Linked DNA regions of Pelodiscus sinensis. The protein of the gene in region 2 interacts with the protein of the main gene of each other region in a pairwise test. Links are inferred from orthologs where the notes say so. Each region holds a gene or a part of one and is shown on either strand. Other genes may lie near its edges.

Region 1 (7,440 bases), on a different chromosome or scaffold from region 2:
GGTGTCCCTGGCCGTGGGGCACTGGGAGACGCTAAGGCTCAGGGTGGGCAGGAGGAATGGGGGGCCTTGCCAGGCGCAGGGCAGGAAGGGGCCAGGGAAGGCTTAGGGTGGGCAGGGGCTGGCGGAAGGGGGAAGGGGCCAGGGTGGCCAGGCTCTCCCTGGGACTGGAGGAGGCCCTATGGGAAGGCCGGTGAGCTGAGCTGGGTGGCGCCAGGGGGTGGGGTGAGAAGGCGGGTGCTGACGCTGTTCTCTCCCGCCGGGCCAGTGAGCGCGGCCCCGCAGGAAGCGCCTTCCCGGAAGTACGTCCCGGCCAAGGTCTACCTGGAGGAGAAGTCTGACGAGCAGAAGAAGGAGGAGGTGGGGCAGCCCCCAGGAACCTGTGTGGCTCACTGCCCCAGCCAGGCCACCCTGCCCCATGGCCATGGTCTGTTTCTGGCCTGGTGCTAGGGTCCATTGGCCACGCTGGGTGTCTCCCTTTGGTGTCTCTGCCAGATGCTGACCCTGCCCACGTGCTCCACGGAGCCCCTCCCTGCCAGGTTCTGACCCCGCCCACAGCTCCATGTAGCCCCTCCTTGCCAGGTTCTGACCCCGCCCACCTGCTCCACGGAGCCCCTCCCTGCCATGTTCCAACCCCGCCCACAGCTCCATGGAGCCCCTCCCTGCCAGGTTCTGACCCCGCCCACCTGCTCCACGGAGCCCCTCCCTGCCAGGTTCTGAGTCCGCCCACCAGCTCCATGGAGCCCCTCCCTGCCAGGTTCTGACCCCGCCCACAGCTCCATGGAGCCCCTCCCTTCCAGGTTCTGACCCCACCCACAGCTCCATGGAGCCCCTCCCTGCCAGGTTCTGACCCTGCCCACCAGCTCCATGGAGCCCCTCCCTGCCAGGTTCTGACCCCGCCCACAGCTCCATGCAGCCCCTCCCTGCCATGTTCTGACCCCGCCCACCAGCTCCATGGAGCCCCTCCCTGCCAGGTTCTGACCCCGCCCACCAGCTCCATGGAGCCCCTCCCTGCCAGGTTCTGACCCCGCCCACAGCTCCATGGAGCCCCTCCCTGCCATGTTCAGACCCCGCCCACAGCTCCATGCAGCCCCTCCCTGCCATGTTCTGACCCCGCCCACCAGCTCCATGGAGCCCCTCCCTGCCATGTTCCGACCCCGCCCACCAGCTCCATGGAGCCCCTCCCTGCCAGGTTCTGACCCCGCCCACCAGCTCCATGGAGCCCCTCCCTGCCATGTTCCGACCCCGCCCACCAGCTCCATGGAGCCCCTCCCTGCCAGGTTCTGACCCCGCCCACCAGCTCCATGGAGCCCCTCCCTGCCAGGTTCCGACCCCGCCCACCAGCTCCATGGAGCCCCTCCCTGCCAGGCGCTGACCCCGCCCACCAGCGCTCCCCCAGGCAGGGGGAGTACCTGTCATGAGAGTGCCTGCTGGAGTCAGCCTCTAACCCGCGCCCAGGGCTGGGACCGAGGCTGCAGTGCCCGCGTTCTCAGCTGCCTTTCACGGATGCCTGGGACCATTGCGGGCCGGTGCCCACACTCTGCCCTTCTCCCTGCAGCTGCTGAGCGCGATGGTGGCCAAGCTGGGCAACCGGGAGGACCCGCTGCCGCAGGACTCCTTCGAGGGCGTGGACGAGGCGGAATGGGTAGGCTGGGGCTGCTGCGGGGTGAGGGGCTGTTGTGACGCGCTGCCCTCAAGGGGACAGCCAGTACTCAGCTCGCTGGCAGCCACAGGGCTGCCTGAGCCCCCTGCCGTCTGCTCTCAGCCCCCCAGGAAAAGCTCGGCAGTGGGACCTATGGACAGTTGCCTGGGAACAACCCTCCAGACCTCCATGCCCAGGGGGAGTCCTGGGGGGGCAGAACACCCAGTGATCCCACCCCTGTGCCAGGCACCCTGCCCAGGATGTGGGGGGGGCTGTGGAGGGGCAGAACACCCAGTGATCCCACCCCTGTGCCAGGCACCCTGCCCAGGATGTGGGGGGGGCTGTGGAGGGGGCAGAACACCCGGTGATCCCACCCCTGTGCCAGGCGCCCTGCCCAGGATGTGGGGAGGCTGTGGAGGGGGCAGAACGCCCGGTGATCCCACCCCTGTGCCAGGCGCCCTGCCCAGGATGTGGGGAGGCTGTGGAGGGGGCAGAACGCCCGGTGATCCCACCCCTGTGCCAAGCGCCCTGCCCAGGATGTGGGGGGGCTGTGGAGGGGGCAGAACGCCTGATGATCCCACCCGTGTGCCAGGCGTCCTGCCCGGGCGTGGGGGGGCTGTGGAGGGGGCAGAACGCCCGGTGATCCCACCCCTGTGCCAAGCGCCCTGCCCAGGATGTGGGGGGGCTGTGGAGGGGGCAGAACGCCTGATGATCCCACCCGTGTGCCAGGCGTCCTGCCCGGGCGTGGGGGGGCTGTGGAGGGGGCAGAACGCCCAGTGATCCCACCCGTGCCAGGTGCCTTTCCTGGGCTCCTGGTCCCACTCACCCATCTTTCGTTGTAGGACTAGCCCTGGAGGGGTGACTCCTTTCCCTGGGACCACCGTCTCCTCCATGCCAAAGCTGCTGGCTCCCCACGCCCTGCCTGGCCTTGGCGGCTCCCACGCTGAGGACTTGCCTTTCGCTGGACCACGCCCGCCCCAGGCTTCGCCGCTGCCCGCCTCAGTGCCCCACCAGCAGCGCTCTGCCGAAGCACCCAGGATGCCCACTCTGTGCCGGGCTCTGCTCTGCTACCCAAGGGCTAATGGACTCGGCGAGCCAGACCCTGCCTCCCTCCTCGGCCTGGCCTGCCCCGAACGCTCTGCCGCTTGCTCGGCCGCCGCGCTGCCCCCGCTTCGACCAGGAGTGCGCACCTCAGCCCGACACACCAGCAGGCGCCTCCGGCTGGCGCTGCTCAAACTACCCCCCTCGGGGTAACCTCCGCCGGCAGTGACAGCCCAGGGGAGTTGGGGGAGCCGCTGGGGGGGGTCTGGGCCTCCCAGCCTGGCCTGACGTTTCCTTTCACAGCCACCGACCCTTCCTGGTGTGGTACCACCAGCTCTTCAGCCCTCAGAGCTGCCCCCAGGACAGGGCGCGACTGGCAATGCCCCCTTCGGCCAGCACGGGGCTCTAAGGTGGGGGGTCCTTGAACGCCTTACAGGCCTGCCCCAGAGCACTCGCCCGGCCTTGCTGCACGGTCAGGCCCTTCCTCCGGGCCGCAGGGATCACGGGCCGGAGGCTGGAATGCCCCCGGCACAAGGGGCCACCACGTGCCTTCTCTGTGTCTGCCGCCCTGGCTGCTGGCACCCGGCGAGTCACTGCCTGGCTGGCCCTGGCATTGTTCCGCCAGGAATCGTGTGTTCTCAAAGCACAAGCCCCCCAAGGGCACCCTGCCCTGGTCTCGAGGGCAGCCCATCTTGGGCAGGGTCACCCGGGGGGAGCCTCAGGGATGGGAGGGGCCATGGAGCCCAGCCCTGTGGTTGAGGGGTTCAGCTGCACCCCCAGAAATCAGGAAACCAAGGGAGCCCAGCCTGCGTAGCTCTACCTTGCCAACAAACCCAAGTGCCAGAGAGGGCTGGCACCATTGGCCAAGGCCGGGCTGGGCTTGTCAGGGGCAGGGCCAGGGGCCCGCTGGGTGAGGCCGAATGCCAGCAACCCAGCTGTGCGCAGGGGGCTTCCGAAACGGCACCGCAAGTTTTAATAAAAGGTTCTTTAAAAACCCAATGGAGGCAGCAAGTCTATAACCTCGGAAAGGCCGTGCGGCGGCAGAGCCTTCTCCAGGGTGGGGCGGCCGGCTGCCCCTTGCCCGGCACTGGGCAGGGTTCCAGGAGGTGACCCAGGAGGCAAAGGGACCCATGTTCAGAGGCCGGGCCCTGGGGGAGGGTGTGACGGCGCGTTGGGGGTCCCCCATCTCCTGCACCCCGAAATGGCACAAACAGACTGCACCAGCCGGTGGAATAGAGGAATTTTATTGCCTCTCCAGGATACAGCACAGCACAGATGTAATCTGGTCACAGAGCTGGGCTAGGATGCCTCAGGCCCCCTTGAGATGGGGAGACCGGGCCCCTAAACTCCAGCCCCTTTCCCTAGGCTGTCTCCTCCATGCCCCCAACCAGCAACTAACCAACCCTCTTCCAGCCCTGCCCCCAGCCAGGGCAGCATCCACCTTCCTTTGTTCCTCTCCATGGGGGGTGTCTGGCCATACCGGTTGAGAGGTCCCTTTGCATAGTGACTCATCCTGTTTTGCTGGGTCGTGGTACCCACGGCAGCCAGTGGGGGTTACCCCAGAGCCAGCCGCATAGAAACCAGCCAGGTCCCCCCACTACGTCACAGAGGGAACGCTTCCTGCAAAGGAACTGCCAGTGCCACTGGGTCCGGCTCCCACCGGGCACGGGGCCTGGCAGCAGGCGACCCTCCAAAGCCCGCCCCATGGGACTGGCTGGCTGGGCACGGCTCAGCCCGGCAGCGACTGCGCTGGCGGCCAAGGGGGCCAGGGCCTGGGCCATATTGGGGCATATGGGGCTGGCAGGGGGTCTCCAGGGCTTGGTGCCCTCCCGGGGCAGAGCACCCGCAGGGCTGCAGACGGGCGGAGGCATCACGCCGCGTGGGGGGGGCAGAGGCCCGCGGGCCGGGCCAGTGGCTGAGGACTGAGGCCCGCGGGCCGGGGCTGGCAGCGCTGCCCGACTGGGCTGCACCCCGCGCTCCGCTCGCCGGCAGGGGGCGCCTCGTGCCAGTCACATGATCAAACTAGCTGGGCCAGCCGGGGCTGCAGCTTCCCCGCCGCCCGCCAGGGGGCGCGCTCCCTCCGCGCTCCGCCCGGCCCGGCTCTATGGTGCCCGGCGCGCGCCCCCCGCCCCGCCCCGCCCCCAGCGCTTCGCTCCCCGAGCCGGGCCGCGCGCAGGGACATGGTGAGCGCGGCCGGGCCCCCGCCAGCCCCCCCCCCACGCGGCCTGGGGAGCGCGCCCCGGCGGGGGGCGCGCCCTAGAGGGGGGGGGGCGTCCTGGCGGGGGGGGGGGTTAGTCTGCTGGGGGGGGAGCCCTGGCGGGGGGGTTATCTGCGGGGGGGGCGCCCTGGCGGGGGGGGTTAGTCTGCTGGGGGGGGCGCCCTGGCGGGGGGGTTAGTCTGCTGGGGGGGTGCCCTGGCGGGGGGGGGTTATCTGCGGGGGGGCGCCCTGGCGGGGGGGTTAATCTGCGGGGGGGGCGCCCTGGCGGGGGGGTTAATCTGCTGGGGGGGTGCCCTGGCGGGGGGGGGGTTATCTGCGGGGGGGCGCCCTGGCGGGGGGGGGGGTTATCTGCGGGGGGGGCGCCCTGGCGGGGGCGTTAATCTGCGGGGGGGGCGCCCTGGCGGGGGGGTTAATCCGCGGGGGGGGGCGCCCTGGCGGGGGGGTTAATCTGCAGGGGGGGCGCCCTGGCGGGGGGGTTAATCCGCGGGGGGGGCGCCCTGGCGGGGGGGGGGTTATCTGCGGGGGGGGCGCCCTGGCGGGGGCGTTAATCTGCGGGGGGGGCGCCCTGGCGGGGGGGTTAATCTGCTGGGGGGGTGCCCTGGCGGGGGGGGGGGTTATCTGCGGGGGGGGCGCCCTGGCGGGGGGGTTAATCTGCGGGGGGGGCGCCCTGGCGGGGGGGTTAATCCGCGGGGGGGGGTGCCCTGGCGGGGGGGTTAATCTGCAGGGGGGGCGCCCTGGCGGGGGGGTTAATCTGCTGGGGGGGTGCCCTGGCGGGGGGGTTAATCTGCAGGGGGGGGCGCCCTGGTGGGGGGGTTAATCTGCGGGGGGGGTGCCCTGGCGGGGGGGTTAATCTGCTGGGGGGGTGCCCTGGCGGGGGGGTTAATCTGCAGGGGGGGCGCCCTGGCGGGGGGGTTAATCTGCAGGGGGGGCGCCCTGGTGGGGGGTTAATCTGCGGGGGGGGGCGCCCTGGCGGGGGGGTTAATCTGCAGGGGGGGGCGCCCTGGTGGGGGGTTAATCTGCGGGGGGGGGCGCCCTGGCGGGGGGGGTTAATCCGCGGGGGGGGCAGCTGCCCCTCCCCTGATGCCGCTGTGTCCGCAGGCCAAGTACCTGGCGCAGATCCTGGTGCTGGGGGCGCAGGTGCTGGGCAGGGCTTTCGCCCGGGCGCTGCGGCAGGAGTTCGCAGGTGAGCACCGGGCGCCCGCCCGCTCTGGGGCTGGCTGGTCCCGGCCTGGGCTGCGGTGCCCCGATTGCCCCGCGCGTGCCGGGCCCTGCCCAGGCCGATGGGGCCGGACAGAGCACAGCGGGGTCCCCCATGGCCCCACCCAGCCTGCAACCGGGGAATTGAACCTGGCGCCCTGGGCTCATAGAGCCACTGGGGATGTGAGCAGGTGTCTGGTCGCTGGGCTCCTCCAGCCCATCCCCATCCCCGCCGGAGCAGCCCCTGCCTGCAGGGAGTGGCGGGTGCTCCAGCCCCAGGTTTAACCAACTAAATGGGATTTTACATCGCCAACGGCCACCCCCAGCTCGCAGCCTGGTGGCACGTCCGGTTGTGCAGCCAGTGGCCCCCGTCCCGCTGCTCGGGGGGCAGCTCTCCTGGGAGTGCTGTGGGTGGGCTGTGCGTGCGGGGAGCCAGCTCAGGGTGTCTCTGAACAGCCAGCCGAGCCGCGGCCAATGCCCGGGGGCCCCAGTCTGCTGCAGCCACCAGCCTCTCAGGGATCAGCCTGCAAGAGGCCCAGCAGATCCTCAACATCTCCAAGCTGAGCCCGGAGGAAATCCAGAAGGTAAGGGCACAGCGCGGGCCGAGCCACAGGCAGGCCTGCACACGCTGGGAGGTCGGCCCCTTGCCCCGGCCACTGCAGGCTGGTCGTCGCGCTCTGGCAGGCATGGCTGGGCGGTGGCAGGTCCTGTTCCAGGCAGTGCCCGTGTATGGCCACCTCATTGGGGCCCTGCCACCCTGCTGGCTGCTGGGGGGTAGGCTCTGTGCTGAAGCGCATGGACGCGGCCCCCAGCGCATTCCCATATCCTGGGCACTGCCTGGAGGGCCCTGTCACCGTGCGTCCCGCAGCCGGCTGGCAGCGCGCTGACATGCAGAGCGAGGGCAGGAGGAGCGGCCGCCCATGCTTGGCTTGTTTCCTTTGGCAGAATTACGAGCACTTATTCAAGGTGAACGACAAGTCGGTGGGGGGCTCGTTTTACCTGCAGTCTAAGGTAAGGAGGGGTTGGGCCGGCCCCATAGGGATGGGGGCTGGCTGGCTCTCTTGGGAGCTGTGGGGCTGGAGGCTTTCAGGCTCTCGCTGCGCTAAGCCCCTGGAGCGGAAGCAGATCTTTTCCGAGATCTTTGCCAGGTGACTGTGTTGCTTGCAGTGTCCTTTGGGTGCCCCATCCCCGCATGCCTCTCTGGGCTCTCCTGTCACACGGGCTGGACCCTGGAAGTCCCCAGGAGCAGCATGTTGGAGCCTGAGAGAGGCCACGCTCTTGGGGGTCTGGCACCACATCTGTTTGCCCAGGGTTACGCCCGGGGGCACGTGGACTGAGGGAGCAA
Region 2 (7,107 bases):
CCAGCTGCTCCAGCCCTGGACCCACAGCAGTTCTGTCAGCGTACCCTGCTTACGTCTCCTTCCTACCCATCATTTCATGTATCCGACACCCACCAATAGGGGACCCTAATCCCATCCATACCAGTCCCCATCTGCAGCTCTTACATCACCCTTTGCACGGCTCACACCCTCTGCGTGTGCTTCTTCCAGCACTCAGGAGGCGCTGGCAGGAACGGGGGAGCAGGAGTGGTGGGAGCATGCAGAGAGGACCATTATATCTTATGGGGGGAAATTCCCTCGTATCCATCATTTTGGTATCTGTCTCCCTTTTCAAGACTGCAACCCCAATGTGTACATGAGACTTCCTGTCCTTTCACTGCCTTGCATCTCTGCCAACACACCATGGGGAAATCCACTTGTCTCCTGCACAATAAGGTCACAAAGCATAACACCACTTCACTGGTCTTTCTGGCCCTTGGTTCTGAATTTCCCCCTTATTTATCCTAAACCCTGCTCTTTAAGAGTCCACTCCAACAGCAAGCATGCCCTCCAATTTAGCATCTCGGCAGGCAGGTGAACAAGAGCAGAAATTCCGACACTCTGCTTCACTGCGGAGCAAATCTCAAGTTCCATTTTTGCCAAACGTGACATGACAGAAGCAATAGAAAATGGAGAACAGAAAGACGCGGAAGCTCAAGAGAAAATGTCCCATAAATGAGCATCATGTAAAGATTCTGAGGCCAGAAAGAACCACTGTAATCATCAAGGCTGCCCTCCTGCCGACAACAGTGCCCCTGAAATGGCTCCTGTTTGAACTAGATCTTGTTTGGAAAACTAATCTTGATTTTGAAATTGCCAGAGATGGAGAATCCCCCAGAACCGCAGGTAATCGACCCCTCTGCCATCTCCATCGGCTTCTGGATTTGCACCAACCTTCCCACACCGGTCAGCTCAGGGCTCCTTTCTCCTCCGCTCGCCCTCGCCTCTCTGGTTAACAGAATTCTCCCCCCCCTCCCCCCCAGTCCCAACTGTGCTCGACTTTCATTAGCTCGCTCCTGGTTTCAAACTCCCACCACGATCTCCATGGTATGCCTTCCTTGCAGAGCCAGTGCCCGCTGAGTCATCCCACTCCAGAAAGGGGGAGGGGGGGTACCCTGGGCAAACAGCCTCCCTCCAGCATCAGATCCTGCACACTGATGGTGCTCAGAGAGGAAGGAGAGAGGTGGAAGGAGTGTCCCTGTCACTTTGCTGTTGGCTTTCAGAGCTCCACCACCAGCATTTCCTCTGCCTCCCTGTTCGGCAAGCAGAGAACCCGGCACCATGTTGTTCTCTTTGTAATGAGCACGTCAGGGCTTCCCAGGGACTGCACTAGTGAGGTCAGGTCACCTTGTTTTAAGTGCCGGGCAGCAATACTGCATCCCGCCCCTCAAAAACACACCCTCTCCATCCCTGGGGACATGCACCCCCCCCCATTACAGCCAAACCATCCGCAGGCTCCACGCACAACACCCACCTCCCGTATGCTCACACACACTAACAAGTTCCCCTCCCTGCACACCTACCCCCATCTCCTCTCCTCTCTCCTCCACATGCACTCGCTCTTGTCTCTCTGAACAGCCACTCCCACACACATCCAACACCAGCCCACATGCACGCACACACACAGGCCTCTACCTCACTGCAGACACAGCCCCCTCCGTGTGCACTTGCCAGCTCCCAGAAAGCCTCGTTGCTGCACAACAAAGCCTCCTCCCCCACCCCAGGCACACTGACATCTGCTCCCCCCTCCCCCCATGTTCCACATACACCCTGGATTCTCAGCCATCATACAGCTATGAAATCCCTCTGCACCATCCGCCTTACACCGATCCCCAGGCCCCAGGCGCCCTCTCACTGCATTCTCAGCACAGCCCCCCTGACCCACCTCAGCATCAAGGCCTGCAACACACCATTCCCTGCACATGCCTTGGACCAGGGAATATGCCGCGTCCTCGCACACCCGCACAGCCTCCCTCTGGATGGACACACAGCCCCTGTAAACACATAGCCTGTTCTGGGTGGGTACACACACACACACACACACACACACACACACACACACCCCCTGTAAACACACAGCCTGTTCTGGGTACACACACACACACACACACAGCCTGTTCTGGGTACACACACACACACACAGCCTGTTCTGGGTACACACACACACACACACACACACACACACACAGCCCCTGTAAACACACAGCCTGTTCTGGGTACACGCACACACACACACACAGCCTGTTCTGGGTACACACACACACACACACACACACACACACACACCCCCTGTAAACACACAGCCTGTTCTGGGTACACACAGAGCCTGTTCTGGGTACACACACACACACACACACAGAGACCCTGTTCCACACACACACACCGCCCCTGCAAACACACAGCCTGTTCTGTGTACACACACACACACACACCCCGAGTCCCCTTACACAACACAGCTCCCTGTACACACACACAAACACCCCCGTACACAACCACTGACACCCTGTGCACAAACACACCCAGCCTTTCCTGTACACACATCCATGCACACGCATCCAGTCCCGCTGGTGGGCGCGCGCACACAACACAACACAACAACCACACAACCCCCCTACCTCGGACACAAGGGCCGTGGCAGGCACCTCTGGGCTGGCGGCCGGGGGTCCCGGGCAGCCGGGCTCGGGCTCAGCTCCGCATCGCCGGCTGGAGGAGGCGCCGCGGGCTCGGCAGCCGCTGCCTGGCTGCGCGGAGACGGGGCTGGTCCGGGCCGGCGGCCGCCTCTCTGCAGCGAGCGCTGCGCGCCCGGCCCCCTCATCAATATGCCGCAGCTGCGCGCAGCCGGGCGGGCGCGCGGCTCGGTCCCCGGGGCCTGGGGGCACCCTGGGGCCTCGGGGCGGGGGGAGCGGGGCTCTGGCCTGAGCGCAAAGCCTGGGGGGCGACGCAGGCTCCCGGCGGGCCGGGGCCCGGGGCTGGCTGGGCGGGGAATCGCGTCACAAATGGAAGAGTCTTTCCAAGGCCAGCCTGGGAGAAAGGAAAGTCAGAGCCCAGGGCCCCTCCTGGCAAAGGGGGGGGGGGTCTCGCAGCAGCAGCCCCCTCTGCTGTCTGTCCGGACACGCTGCTCTGAGCCAGGGGTTCAGTTCAGCGACCCCGCAGAAGAAACTGCTCCCTCGTCTGCAGGCTTTCTCCCTCTGAGGCCCTGCAGGTCCCCCCAGGACACCAGTCACTCTAGCCAATTCAACATGGGTTCTTCTGCCGAGGAGAGGCAATTTCTGGTCCGTGTCACAGCTCTCGGACACAGACTAAGGGCAGGGGAATGCCGGAGGCGTGCTAAGGTGGAGAATGGAAAACGATCTGTTCCGGATTCTTTTTGTTCATGATCTAAAAAAAGCTTTTTATTGGGGCTGTCAATTGATCTGCCTTAAGACCTGTGATCAATGCAAGGAAGGAGGCACGGAGCCGGGGTCAGCTGGGGACTCCAGCTGATCCCAGGCTCCCATGATGCTGCCCCTTGGAAACATCACTGATGCATTTCCAAGGGGCAGCTGCACTGAGCCTGGGGTCAGCTGGAGTCCCCAGCTGACCCTGGCTGGGTGCAGCACCGTCTCTTGGAAAGGCGTCCCGGGTGATCTTTTTAATTGCTTGACAACCCTACTTTTTATTGCCCTTCATTCTGTTGGCCAGAGATTTCTCTTAGTCTCTTGGCTTCCCTTACCAATTTTCTGCAATTCCTAAAAAAGAAATTGATTTCAGCCCCTCCCCCTGAAACAACTTTTTTCCAGGTTCTCAGACAAAAAAAATCATCTTAAATCTTAATTAAAAATTGCAAGAGGCTCAGAGGCCTCAGTAAAATCCCCAGAGCCTTTGGTCTATTGCCTCTGAAAAGCTCCCGAGCTTCAAAAATCCCCAAACCCATCACAAAAGTACTGCAGCCTCCAAAAATTAAAAATATCCCCAAAGCCTTGACCTATTTCTCTGTTGCCAGAAAAGCTGCATGGGTGGGGGACTGCTCCTGGGAAACCCACTAACCAGTTAACTGGTTACCCATTCACATCCCTAGTCCACACAAGAGGTTTAGTAAACTAAAGGGGGTCAGTTAGCAAGGGTGATCCAGCATGTTCTAAAAAGCAATATACCTTTAAACCCTTAATCCCAGCTCTACGGCAGCCAGCCAGCCAATGAGGAGTAATAATTAAGATGTGAATTTATTCTAGGGCTTCCTCCTGGACTGACACACAGGTTGTTTGGTTTGCGACTTTCCTTTCTCATCCCAACCCACTGGGCTGCTAAGAAAGGGCTTGGCCTGTTCCCCCACCCCCTCCTCGCTTTTCCTGCATCAGAGAAATAGGTCAGCTTAGAAAAGGTTCTGGCCTGATTTTTGACTCCCCTGCACCAGGGCGCTGAGGAGGACTCCCGTGGAGTTACCCACGCCTCGGCGAATGGAAAAGCAGGCACTTTTGCTTTTAGACGCCAGCCCAGCACCAGTCCAGACCCACATTCACTGCTGTATAGGTGTTAACCCGGCAGAGCAGCAACTTTCTTCCTGCCGGAGGGGCAGATGAAGCTGGCTGCCGGAGGGAGCCAAGAACATGACTTTTGAGCTGGGAGGCCCAAGGGTGCAAAAGAAAATCTGGATGCCCCATTGTGGCTCCCTGGGCCTCCATGCTGCTCAGCATCCCTCAGGACCATCCATCCACCCCGAGGGTCTCTCTTCCTCCAGAGTGAAACTCCCCCAGGCCCAGGGTAAGGGACTGAAATCATCTCTCTGGCACCACCTTGTGGCACACACGAGAATGGCAAATGGCCACATTCAGGTGGGATGAGCAGCAGGAGCTTTTAGGTTCCTTGGTATTTTCATGACTCTCTCCGAGGTCTCTGTGCATCAAACAGTCCTGTGCCTATTCTAGAGCTGTGGAGATCCCAGCCGGTGGCTCATGGCCATGGACGCGTGTATTGGAGCCAAGTCGGTCCCAGGTATTACAGTGATAAGGTGCGTGAGGTAGAATCTTATATTGGGCCAACTTCCATTGGTGCGAGAGAGACGCTTTCAAGCTACACAGAGCTCGGCGTCAGGTCATGGGCATGACTGCTACCCGCTTCCAAGGCAAGGACATAGTGTCTGGTTGCACCAACCCTGCTGAACAAGGAACAGTGGTTCTGCGGCTGGATCTCTGACCAAGGGGACGGCCTTTCAGCATCTGTCTCTCTAATGCGAGAGGAGGGATGTTCAATTTAGATTAATCAACTAATTGAATAGTTAATGGAATTTGCATCAACTAATCGATTAGTCGATAAGGATGCCTCTGAATTTGAAATGTACTAAGAGCCCTGCTGGCTCTTACTACATTTCAAACGCAGAAGCCCCATTGGAGAGGGGTACGGGGCCAACAGGGGGACGTGCTCCCCGTGGTGTTTCTGCGTTTGAAATGTAGCGAGAGCTCCACTCTCACTGCACTTCAAAGGTGGAAATGCTGCCAGTTCCCCACTGCGTCCCTGCCCCTCCCCAGGGAGACGGTATTGGTGGGAACTGGCTTTTAAGCAAGCTTCCCCCAGCATCAGCTCCTGCTCTTCTCCCCTTCCTACTTCTCTCTGATAGAGGCAGCAAAGAGGAGAGGGGAGCAACTAGTCGAGTCACTAGTTGCTTACATCCCTATGAGAGAGCTTTCCATTCTGCAGCCAAACAATTCTGAATGTTCAGGTCATGCTGCAGGCATCAATAGCCAGCGCACAACCTGTGGAACTCCTTGCCAGAGGATGTGGTGAAGACTAGGGCTATGTCTACATTGCCCCTTCTTGTGCAAAAAATATGCAAGTGAGGATTCTACACGGCTCCTTTTTGCACAAACCCCCACTCTTGTGCAAGAGCCATTCGTCCTCTTTTCCAGGAAGAACGGCTCTTGCTCAAGAGGGGGTTTTTGCACAAAAACAGAGCCTCATTAATTATGCAAATGAGGTGCAGCAATATTCCATGCTTTGCCTCATTTGCATATTTTTTGCACAAGAGGGGGCAGTGTAGACATAGCCAAGGAGTTTAACAGGATTCAAAAAAGAGCTAGCTACGTTCATGCAGGTTAGGTCCATCCATGGCTATTAGCCAGGCTGGGTAGAAATGGTGTCCCCAGCCTCTGCTTGTCTGGAAATGGGTGACAGGGGAGGGATCACATGAGGATTCCCTGGTCTGTTCCCTTCCTCTGGGGCACCGGGCATTGGCCACTGTGGGCAGACAGGACATTGAGCTGGATGGACCTTTGGTCTGACCCCGTCTGGCCGTTCTGATGTTTTTACTATTCAAATAGCATCCTAGCCCACCTATGTCAGTTCCACTTACTTTCTAGGTGGCATAACCTAATAGTCAGAGTCTGTAACAACATCCCTTTCTCAGGGCAGTGTGGCCTAGCAGCCAGAGTCTCTGGCAATTCCCCTGTCTCTCACCGGACAGTGTGGCCTAGTGGACAGAATCTGTAATAGCACCCCTCTCCAACAGGGTAGGGTGGCCTAACAGCCAGGCTATGTCTACACTCTTGGCTTCTTGCGCAAGAATCTGCAGCGCATCCACACTGCCCACCCGCTCTTGCGCAAGGAAATTTATAGTACGGCGTGGTAAGAGAGGGCTCCTTGTGCAGGAGTTACACCTCTTTTTTTATCAGGTGTAAGCCCTCTTGCGCAAGAGGGCAGTGTGGACGCTCGGCAGGGATTTCTTGCTCAAGAGAGTGTCCACACTGCCATGGGAGCTCTTGCGCAAGAGCACAGCACGCACATGGCAGTGTGGACGTTTTCTTGTGCAAGACTTCTTGCACAAGAACCCGTGAGCAAGATGTTCTTGCACAAGAGGCTGCCAGTGTAGACATAGCCCCAGAGTCCATCATAATGTCTTCATCTCCCAGGACAGTGCAGCCTAGTGGCCAAAGTCTATAGTAGTGCCCTCCTCCCGCCCCCCAGGGCAGCATGGCCTAATAGCTGGAGTCCATAACAATGCCCTTTTGTCAGGGCAGTGCAGCCTAATAGGATGTGTGTCGCCTTGCAGGGTTGATGGGGGGGGGGGACCTGAGCCCACCTGCTCCACCGGGTCCCAGCCCAGGGCCCTGTCAGTGG
Region 3 (6,946 bases), on a different chromosome or scaffold from region 2:
AAGCTGACCTAAGCCTTGGGGGAAACATGGCTAGGTCAAGTCTTCTGATAATTAACTTCCTGAGAGGCAGTAGCTAGATTAACTACAGTGTTGGAAAAACCCTTTCCATTGCTGTAGGAAGCGCCTACACTACATCATTACAGCCACAGTATCATAGCTGTATTTCTGTACTGCTTGTGGCAAAGACCTGGCTTGAACATTTAGAGGATGCTTGTGTCAGTCTCATGTTTCCCTCTTAACTTAAAAATAAATAAAGCAAGGATTTGCACATAATCCTTTGACTTCAGTAAGTGGGACTTTAAGAATGTTACTAAATTTCACAAGATTTGCAACAAAATTATGAGAATTATAATAATTCTTGGAACTTTCATTAGAGAAGGGCAAAGCTTCTAAACAGACGAATCTTACAGACATGCCAATGAGGTAGCTAAGGGATACCCCAAGAACCATTTACTGAAGCAGCCCCTGCCTGTGACACCCCCAGGCCCACCGCAGACAAGGACTGGATGCCTGGAACAGCCCTTGTCTGCAGCAGGCCAGGAACTGCTCCAGCCCCCTCTGGTTAACTGATTAATCTTTCACATCCCTAGACGGAACACAATGACCCATGTCGGGATTTGACCAAAGCAGTGGAATCACTGTCTCGAGTTGGATCTTTAAAGACTACCAGAATGGGGTCATCTTGAAAGCACAACACCCACAGAGATGCTGAACTAGGGATGTTACCGAATCCCACCCCAGCTTAAAGTGGTTTCCATCATATACAGGCTTTACAGTTTGGTTTAATGACTCTCAGAATCCATGATACAGCAAGTTCTAGCACCCCCGAGTACCAGTGTTCGCTGTCAGCCAGTGATGGGCAACCTAGGCTAGTGAGTGGACTGCATGAGTGACTCTCCTCCAACTCAGTGGGCCACAAGACCGAGTCACAGGACAAGGTAGTTTTGCCTACTGCGCTTGCGTACCTGGAATACGCATGGTATGCAGACTGAATAGTAGCAGCACTTTGGATGCAGAGGGAGCACATGTCTTTTCACAGTCAATGGTGTGCAATCAGCATGCACTAGGGATGTAAAGGAGTAGTAGAGTCAACTACTGGCATTATCCCCCACTTCCTGCCTCTGATACTGCAGAGGCGGGGGAGGGGACGTAGGGGCTGCTGCTGCAAAGCAGCCCCTGTCTGTGGCGACCAGCCAGGGGCAGGGGCTGCTTCACAGCAGGGATGTTAAAATTAGATTAATCAACGGATCAAATAGTGGATGGAATTTCCATTGCAGAGCCTTTGAAATGTACAAGATTGAAATGCCACGTGGAGCCTGGGGCAAGTGGGGGACTCAGTCTCTTGCTAGCCCCAGGCTCCATAAGGCACTTCTGCTTTGAAATGGAGCTGGAGGGAACCGGCTTTTAAGCTGACTCCCTGGCCCAGCACCTCATTCTTCTCCCTCCACCTTGATGCCTCTTTCTGACAAAGGCAGCAAGAGTTGGGGTGGGGAAGGAACTAGTGTGACAACTACCTGATAAGCTTATCAGATAGCCGACTGACTAGTCGCTTACATCCCTACTTCAGGCAGCAGTCCCTGCCTGTGGGAGGTCCCAAATTCCTGCTGGGACCTCTGCACACAGAGATTGCTGCTAGCTGCATAGGCTGCCTGGCTCCTACTGACTTTTAAATTGCAGAGCTGCAGTGGGGTTCGGTCTCACACCAAGCACCAGCCAGAACTGAGCCGGGCTGCCTATCAACTAATTGAATAGTCGATAAAAACTCTATCAACTACTCAATTAGTTAAATACCTTCATTTTAATGTCCCTCGCATGCACTTCACGCCACGTGTCCTTGCTTTATACGCACGTCACAATAGCAACACCAGTAGCAAAAAAAAATGACACATACTGAAACCAGCGAAATCTGGCAACCCTGCGCACCGGCAACAGGAAACAAACTGTCCCACGGGCCACACGCAGAACCCCTGCCCACCGCTGCTGTAAAGCATACGCAGTAGCCAGGCAGGAGAGAGTCCAATGCTGCCCAGCGGATGAGCAGGGCGCTAGATTTTCTTTCTGGGGTGGTGCACAGTCACGCAGGCCTCGGTGCACGTTCACATTTATTCCGCACGTGGATGGAAAGGAGCGGGAAGGAACAGGGCCATTGCACGGCGGGGGAGGGCGCCCTACCCTGTTCTTCTCCTCCACCTCCTGGACGCACTTGGCTCGCCACTGGTCGATCCTGGCCTCCCTTTCCGCCGCTCGGGCCGCCTCCTCCTCCCGGGCCGCCTGGGCCTCCTGCTTCCTCTTGCGGAGGCGCAGCCGCCTCTTCCGCGCCTTGTCCGCCTTGCGCCGCAGCTCGCCCAGGCCGCCGGGCTCGCGCAGGGGCCGCAGCTGCTCCTGCAGCTCCCTCAGCAGGGCGCGGGCCTGCTCGTGGGCCTGGCGCCAGCCCGCCTCGTCGCCGGCCGCCTCCTGCCGCCGCAGGGCGCGGCACAGCGCCGCCAGCCGGGCCACCGGCCGCAGCGCCCCCGCCGCCAGCTGGCGGGCTCGGCCGGGGCTGGGCGCGCCGGGCGGCGGGGGGAAGCCGCGGGGCCGGGGCCGCCGCCGGGCCAGGAACTGGGCCAGCCACAGCTCATCGCGCGTCCGGCGCGCGGCCTCCTCCTCCGCCTCGCGGGGCTCGGCGCCGCCCTCGGCCCACGGCGGCGCCCACGGCGGGGCCGGGTAGAGGGGCCGCGGGGCCGCCTCGCGGGCCGGGAAGAAGGAGCCGCCGCCCGCGGGGAGCAGCTCGGGCGGGGGCAGCGGCGGCGGCAGGAAGGGCGGGGCGGCCGGGAAGGGGCCGGCGGCGGGCAGCGGGGGGAAGGGGCTGCCCGGGGGCGGGAAGCAGCGGAACGGGGCGGGCGGCGGCGGCCCGGCGAAGCGGGGGGCGAAGGGCGGCGGTTGAGCCATGGGGCCCGGCTCGCCTCAGCCCGGCCGCGCGCGCGCGTGCGCGCTTCCGGCAGCGCTCCCTGGCGGCGGGGAGGAGGCGGGGCAGGGCTGCGCACACGTCACGTGGGGCGGCTGCGTAGGAGAATTTGAATATTGATGAGGGGGGAGGGAGCAGAGCCCTGACTTCGACCAGGACCCTACGCACGTGGAGGAGACAGTCCAAGCAAGGGGCCTGACTGCCTGGATTAGAACACGCAGGTGGTGTTTGTACAGGGCCTCTGCCCCTCTGCTCAGTCCAGGGCCTGGCGGGCATTGGCTACTGTTAGCACAGAGGGGAGCCACCGGCACAGTCATTTCTAAATCCCTGGGCCAGCCCTAAGCTTCTGCTGCAGCGTGCTGGCAGGGTTCCCACATTGCAGCACACACACAAATGAAACCAGGTTGGGGGAACCTGCAGCACAGCAGGGTTCTGTAGGTTGCTCCTTAAGCGTATTGTTCATCATTGACCTCATACACAGTAGGATGAGGGGCTCTCCAGCCATTTCTGTTAAGGGCCCAGCTCTGGCTGTTACATTGCCAGGTGGGGGAAGTGTGGGACTTACTCTGCCTCTGTGCAGCTACCATTCAGGGATGTATCACACCTTCTTGAACCAACCCTAGCTGCAGGATGCTCCAGGTTGAGACTTGGCTTGTAGCATCCTGCAGCCAGAGGTTGACAGTAGCAGAGGTGAGTCATCTCCATGCTGCTGGGAGAGCAGATGCCAGCTGCTCAAGTGCTGCAGCCTTCAGAGGCTAGCACTGAAAGCAGCACAAAGTGAGGGTAGCAATCCCCCAACCCTCTTACAACACCTTTGCTACAACCCATCTTCACTCTATACACAGCTCTTTTGCCTGGTCAATTTCACTGCCATAGGCTTTCAAAATGTGAAATTGACAAATTCTCAAATGTTTACAGTGAAATTTCAGATGTAAACATTTGAGAATTTGTCAATTTCACATTTTGAAAGCCTTTGGCAGTGAAATTGACCAGGCATGAGATAGGGTTTAATATATATGGCATTGCTTTGACACCACCTTGGAGTTGATCAGCTAGAGTCACAATGTTCAAATGGGGCTACACAGCTGGTCTCAATATATCACCTGCGCTGCCAGCTGCTTCAGTGCAAATCCTCTTCCCATGACCCAGCAGTTATTGCCTGTATGCAGATGAGGCAGTAACAGTATGAGGATGTCACAAGGAGGAGCAGAATCAATGCACAGAAGAGGTAATTTACAAATGGACATTTTGTATTATTTGACTGTTACAAAATGCATTACATAATATAGCCAAATAAGAATACATGCATTGACACTGTTGCTCCTAGTATGGACTTGTTTGCTCCAGATAAGTGATCAACAATGTGTTTAGACTAGTACAGTCTAATCTCAGCTGCTTCAATCTGTCCCTTCTTGCCAAAATGGCAGCTGAAGAACTGCTCTGCTGTTGGTTCGCTGGACCCAGCCACAGTCCTGCTATTCTACATCTTTGCACTGCAAAGCAGATTGATATCTATCCCATTCCCATAAATCCCATTTACTACTCCTAGGTATTTCCAGGAGCTGCAAAACTGGGATTACACAGACAGCACTAAATGAAACAGTGGGCAGGAGAGAGTTTACTTGAACCATTTCCATTTCTCTATCCCCAACAGCACAGAACTGGTTTGGTTTAGTACTAAATGTTTTGAAGCCTGCTGAAAGCCTTCTCCAATGGGTTCCTAGAATTTCCCTTCACATATTCATGTCCCCAGGAGTAATGAACAAACAAAGCGTGTAAAACTCTTAGCAAAAAGCCAACTGGAGCATCTTTTCCTAGACCTTAAAGTGGTCAGTTATGCGACTCCTTCCATCAAGGTGCAAGGAACTGACACAGGTAACTTCCACAATTACTAATACAATGTGAGAAGGGAAGAGTTTTACATATGCATACTTTTCCCTCAGTCATTGGTTTGGTGCATTTTACAAAAAAAAGCACTGATCTTTACTTATGCAGTCATTTAGACTTACTGCTATTGGGACACCCAGGCTTCGTCTACATTGCCGGTTTTGCAATGAGGTGTAGATTAGCATATCGCTGCAGAAAAAAAAGTAGTGTGGATGTTTTGTTTCTGCGCAAAATCCGTTTTCCGCAAGATCCTTACGCCTCTCCCGGAGGGGCATAAGGATCTTACGCAAAACGGGGTTTTTGCGGGAAAAACCCAGTCCACGCTAATTTTTTTTCCTGCAAAAACCCTTTGTGCAAAGAGTTTGCATAAATTATGCAAATTGCACATCAATATGCTAATCCACACCTCATTTGCATGCTCACAGCCCACAAAACTGGCAGTGTAGATGTAGCCACAGTGCTTTCATTCAAAACAGGTATTTCCCTGGGTTTAGTAGTATCCAAACAGATGATAAAGCAAGCCTTTCAATAAGAGAGGGCTAGATATGACAGAGCTAGATATGGCCCATCCCACAAGCCTCCGGATCCAACCTGTGAGCAGCCCCAAACCAGGAACCTCAGGCACAGAGCAGCCAGAAGCTTCCCATAGCTCTCTACTCCAGGCACCAAGGGGAGGGAGAGGCTTTGCATGCTGTCCCCATCCGCTAACAAAAATATCTCAGCTGCTATTGTCCAGAAACTGGAGCTAAGTGATTTTGCTAGGAGGTGAGGCAGCGTGTGCTGCTTCCCCTTCCCCCTGGGCAGCTGCAGCGGAGAGCCTCAGGGAGCAGTCTGGGACAGCCTGGGACAGCCTTAGAACAGCCTGGGACAGGGCTGCTGGCTGTGAACTGCCTAGGTAAATGCCTGCTGGTCATTTCCTGCCCAGGTCATCACCCAATCCCTCTGCACCCTCCTCCCATAGGTCATAACTCCCTCCCAGACCTTGCACACCCAATAATCCCTTCTCCAGGCCAGAATCCTTTCTTGCTCCCTTACCTCCTCCCAGACCCTGCACCCCAAGCTCCCTTTCAGATCCCATACCCTCTCCTGCACTCGAGCCTCCTACCCCAAACTCCCTTCTGCACCCAACCTTCATCTCAGACCCCACATCCTCTTCTTAGAAAAGTGCAGCCTTTAACCATTTCCTAAAATCTTGGCATGGCCTCCCATAACAAATAGACAACTGCTGCAATAAGGCAATTACTGTCCATAACTGACTATATAGAAGGCAGCTCTAATTAGCCTCACTCCCCACAGTATCAACTTGATAACAAGGTTTCAAATGAGCATGAAGATGCAAAAGGATGGCCCTTCAGAAGCTACTATAATTAGGTAACTTTTTAATTGAGTTAGTGGAAGCATTTATCTGACAATAACCACCACAGGCTATTTATGCAAAATGCATTTCATTCGCCCACGTTATAGCTATTTTGCTTTTTATTGTACTTTTATTATATGTACCTTTCCATTCTAAGAATATGAAAAGTCATGATTAACTTGCATAGTTTCCAAAGCACCATTCTATTAGGAATATTCAATATGGTCTTAAAATAGACAACTGAAAAAGCTCAATATATACATATATAACTTAATTCAGCTTTTTAATGAAGATCCTGACCATAACTCAAAACATTTTTCCGAATGGTTAATTACTTTGTGCCATTACTTAAGTCTCATGCTTTATCTACAGAAACATATGTAATTCATGACTATTTGCTTTGTTTTATTGAAACACCAAACCTACTTTTGAAGTACAAATCGTAGTTACACGTTTTAAAACATTTCTTGATTACATATTAAACTAAGTTGTTCAATGCCTTTCACTAAAAATATTCCTTAATCATTTCAAAGATGATTTAACAGAATTAAAAGCTATTTGAATTTTCAGTCTACTACCTGTAAAAGGAAAATAAAGTTACGAAAATTGGAAGTTTGATCATTCTCTATGAGAATCTACAGTAAACTAAGTACGCTTGCTTTTCCTGGAAGTCTCCTGAACCCTGAGAGCAGCCTTTCCTGAACCATTATTGGTTTAACCAGAAGAAAACAGAAATTGCAACATCAATTCAGTTGCAT

The links. The genes of interacting proteins can lie anywhere in the genome.
Region 1: the proteins of FEZ1 (region 2) and PAM16 interact in a two-hybrid assay, tested with the Homo sapiens proteins (2 studies listed by BioGRID and IntAct). The link is inferred for Pelodiscus sinensis from reciprocal best matches to the Homo sapiens genes FEZ1 and PAM16.
Region 3: the proteins of FEZ1 (region 2) and PDCD7 interact in a two-hybrid assay, tested with the Homo sapiens proteins (2 studies listed by BioGRID and IntAct). The link is inferred for Pelodiscus sinensis from reciprocal best matches to the Homo sapiens genes FEZ1 and PDCD7.

What each region holds. Positions count from the first base shown.
Region 1 is NC_134726.1:3,202,744-3,210,183, forward strand, and holds the start of PAM16 (mitochondrial import inner membrane translocase subunit TIM16), read left to right. Parts: upstream 1-4,433; 5' UTR 4,434-4,574; intron 4,575-4,607; 5' UTR 4,608-4,860; coding exon 4,861-4,863; intron 4,864-5,996; coding exon 5,997-6,081; intron 6,082-6,551; coding exon 6,552-6,679; intron 6,680-7,040; coding exon 7,041-7,106; intron 7,107-7,440. Other genes in the region: CORO7 (coronin-7), read left to right, coding at 266-357, 1,556-1,642, 2,482-2,487. UniProt on the Homo sapiens protein: Regulates ATP-dependent protein translocation into the mitochondrial matrix. Inhibits DNAJC19 stimulation of HSPA9/Mortalin ATPase activity.
Region 2 is NC_134736.1:13,407,423-13,414,529, forward strand, and holds the start of FEZ1 (fasciculation and elongation protein zeta-1), read right to left. Parts: upstream 3,005-7,107; 5' UTR 2,834-3,004; coding exon 2,634-2,833; intron 1-2,633. UniProt on the Homo sapiens protein: May be involved in axonal outgrowth as component of the network of molecules that regulate cellular morphology and axon guidance machinery.
Region 3 is NC_134724.1:6,575,307-6,582,252, forward strand, and holds the start of PDCD7 (programmed cell death protein 7), read right to left. Parts: upstream 3,008-6,946; 5' UTR 2,929-3,007; coding exon 2,173-2,928; intron 1-2,172. UniProt on the Homo sapiens protein: Promotes apoptosis when overexpressed.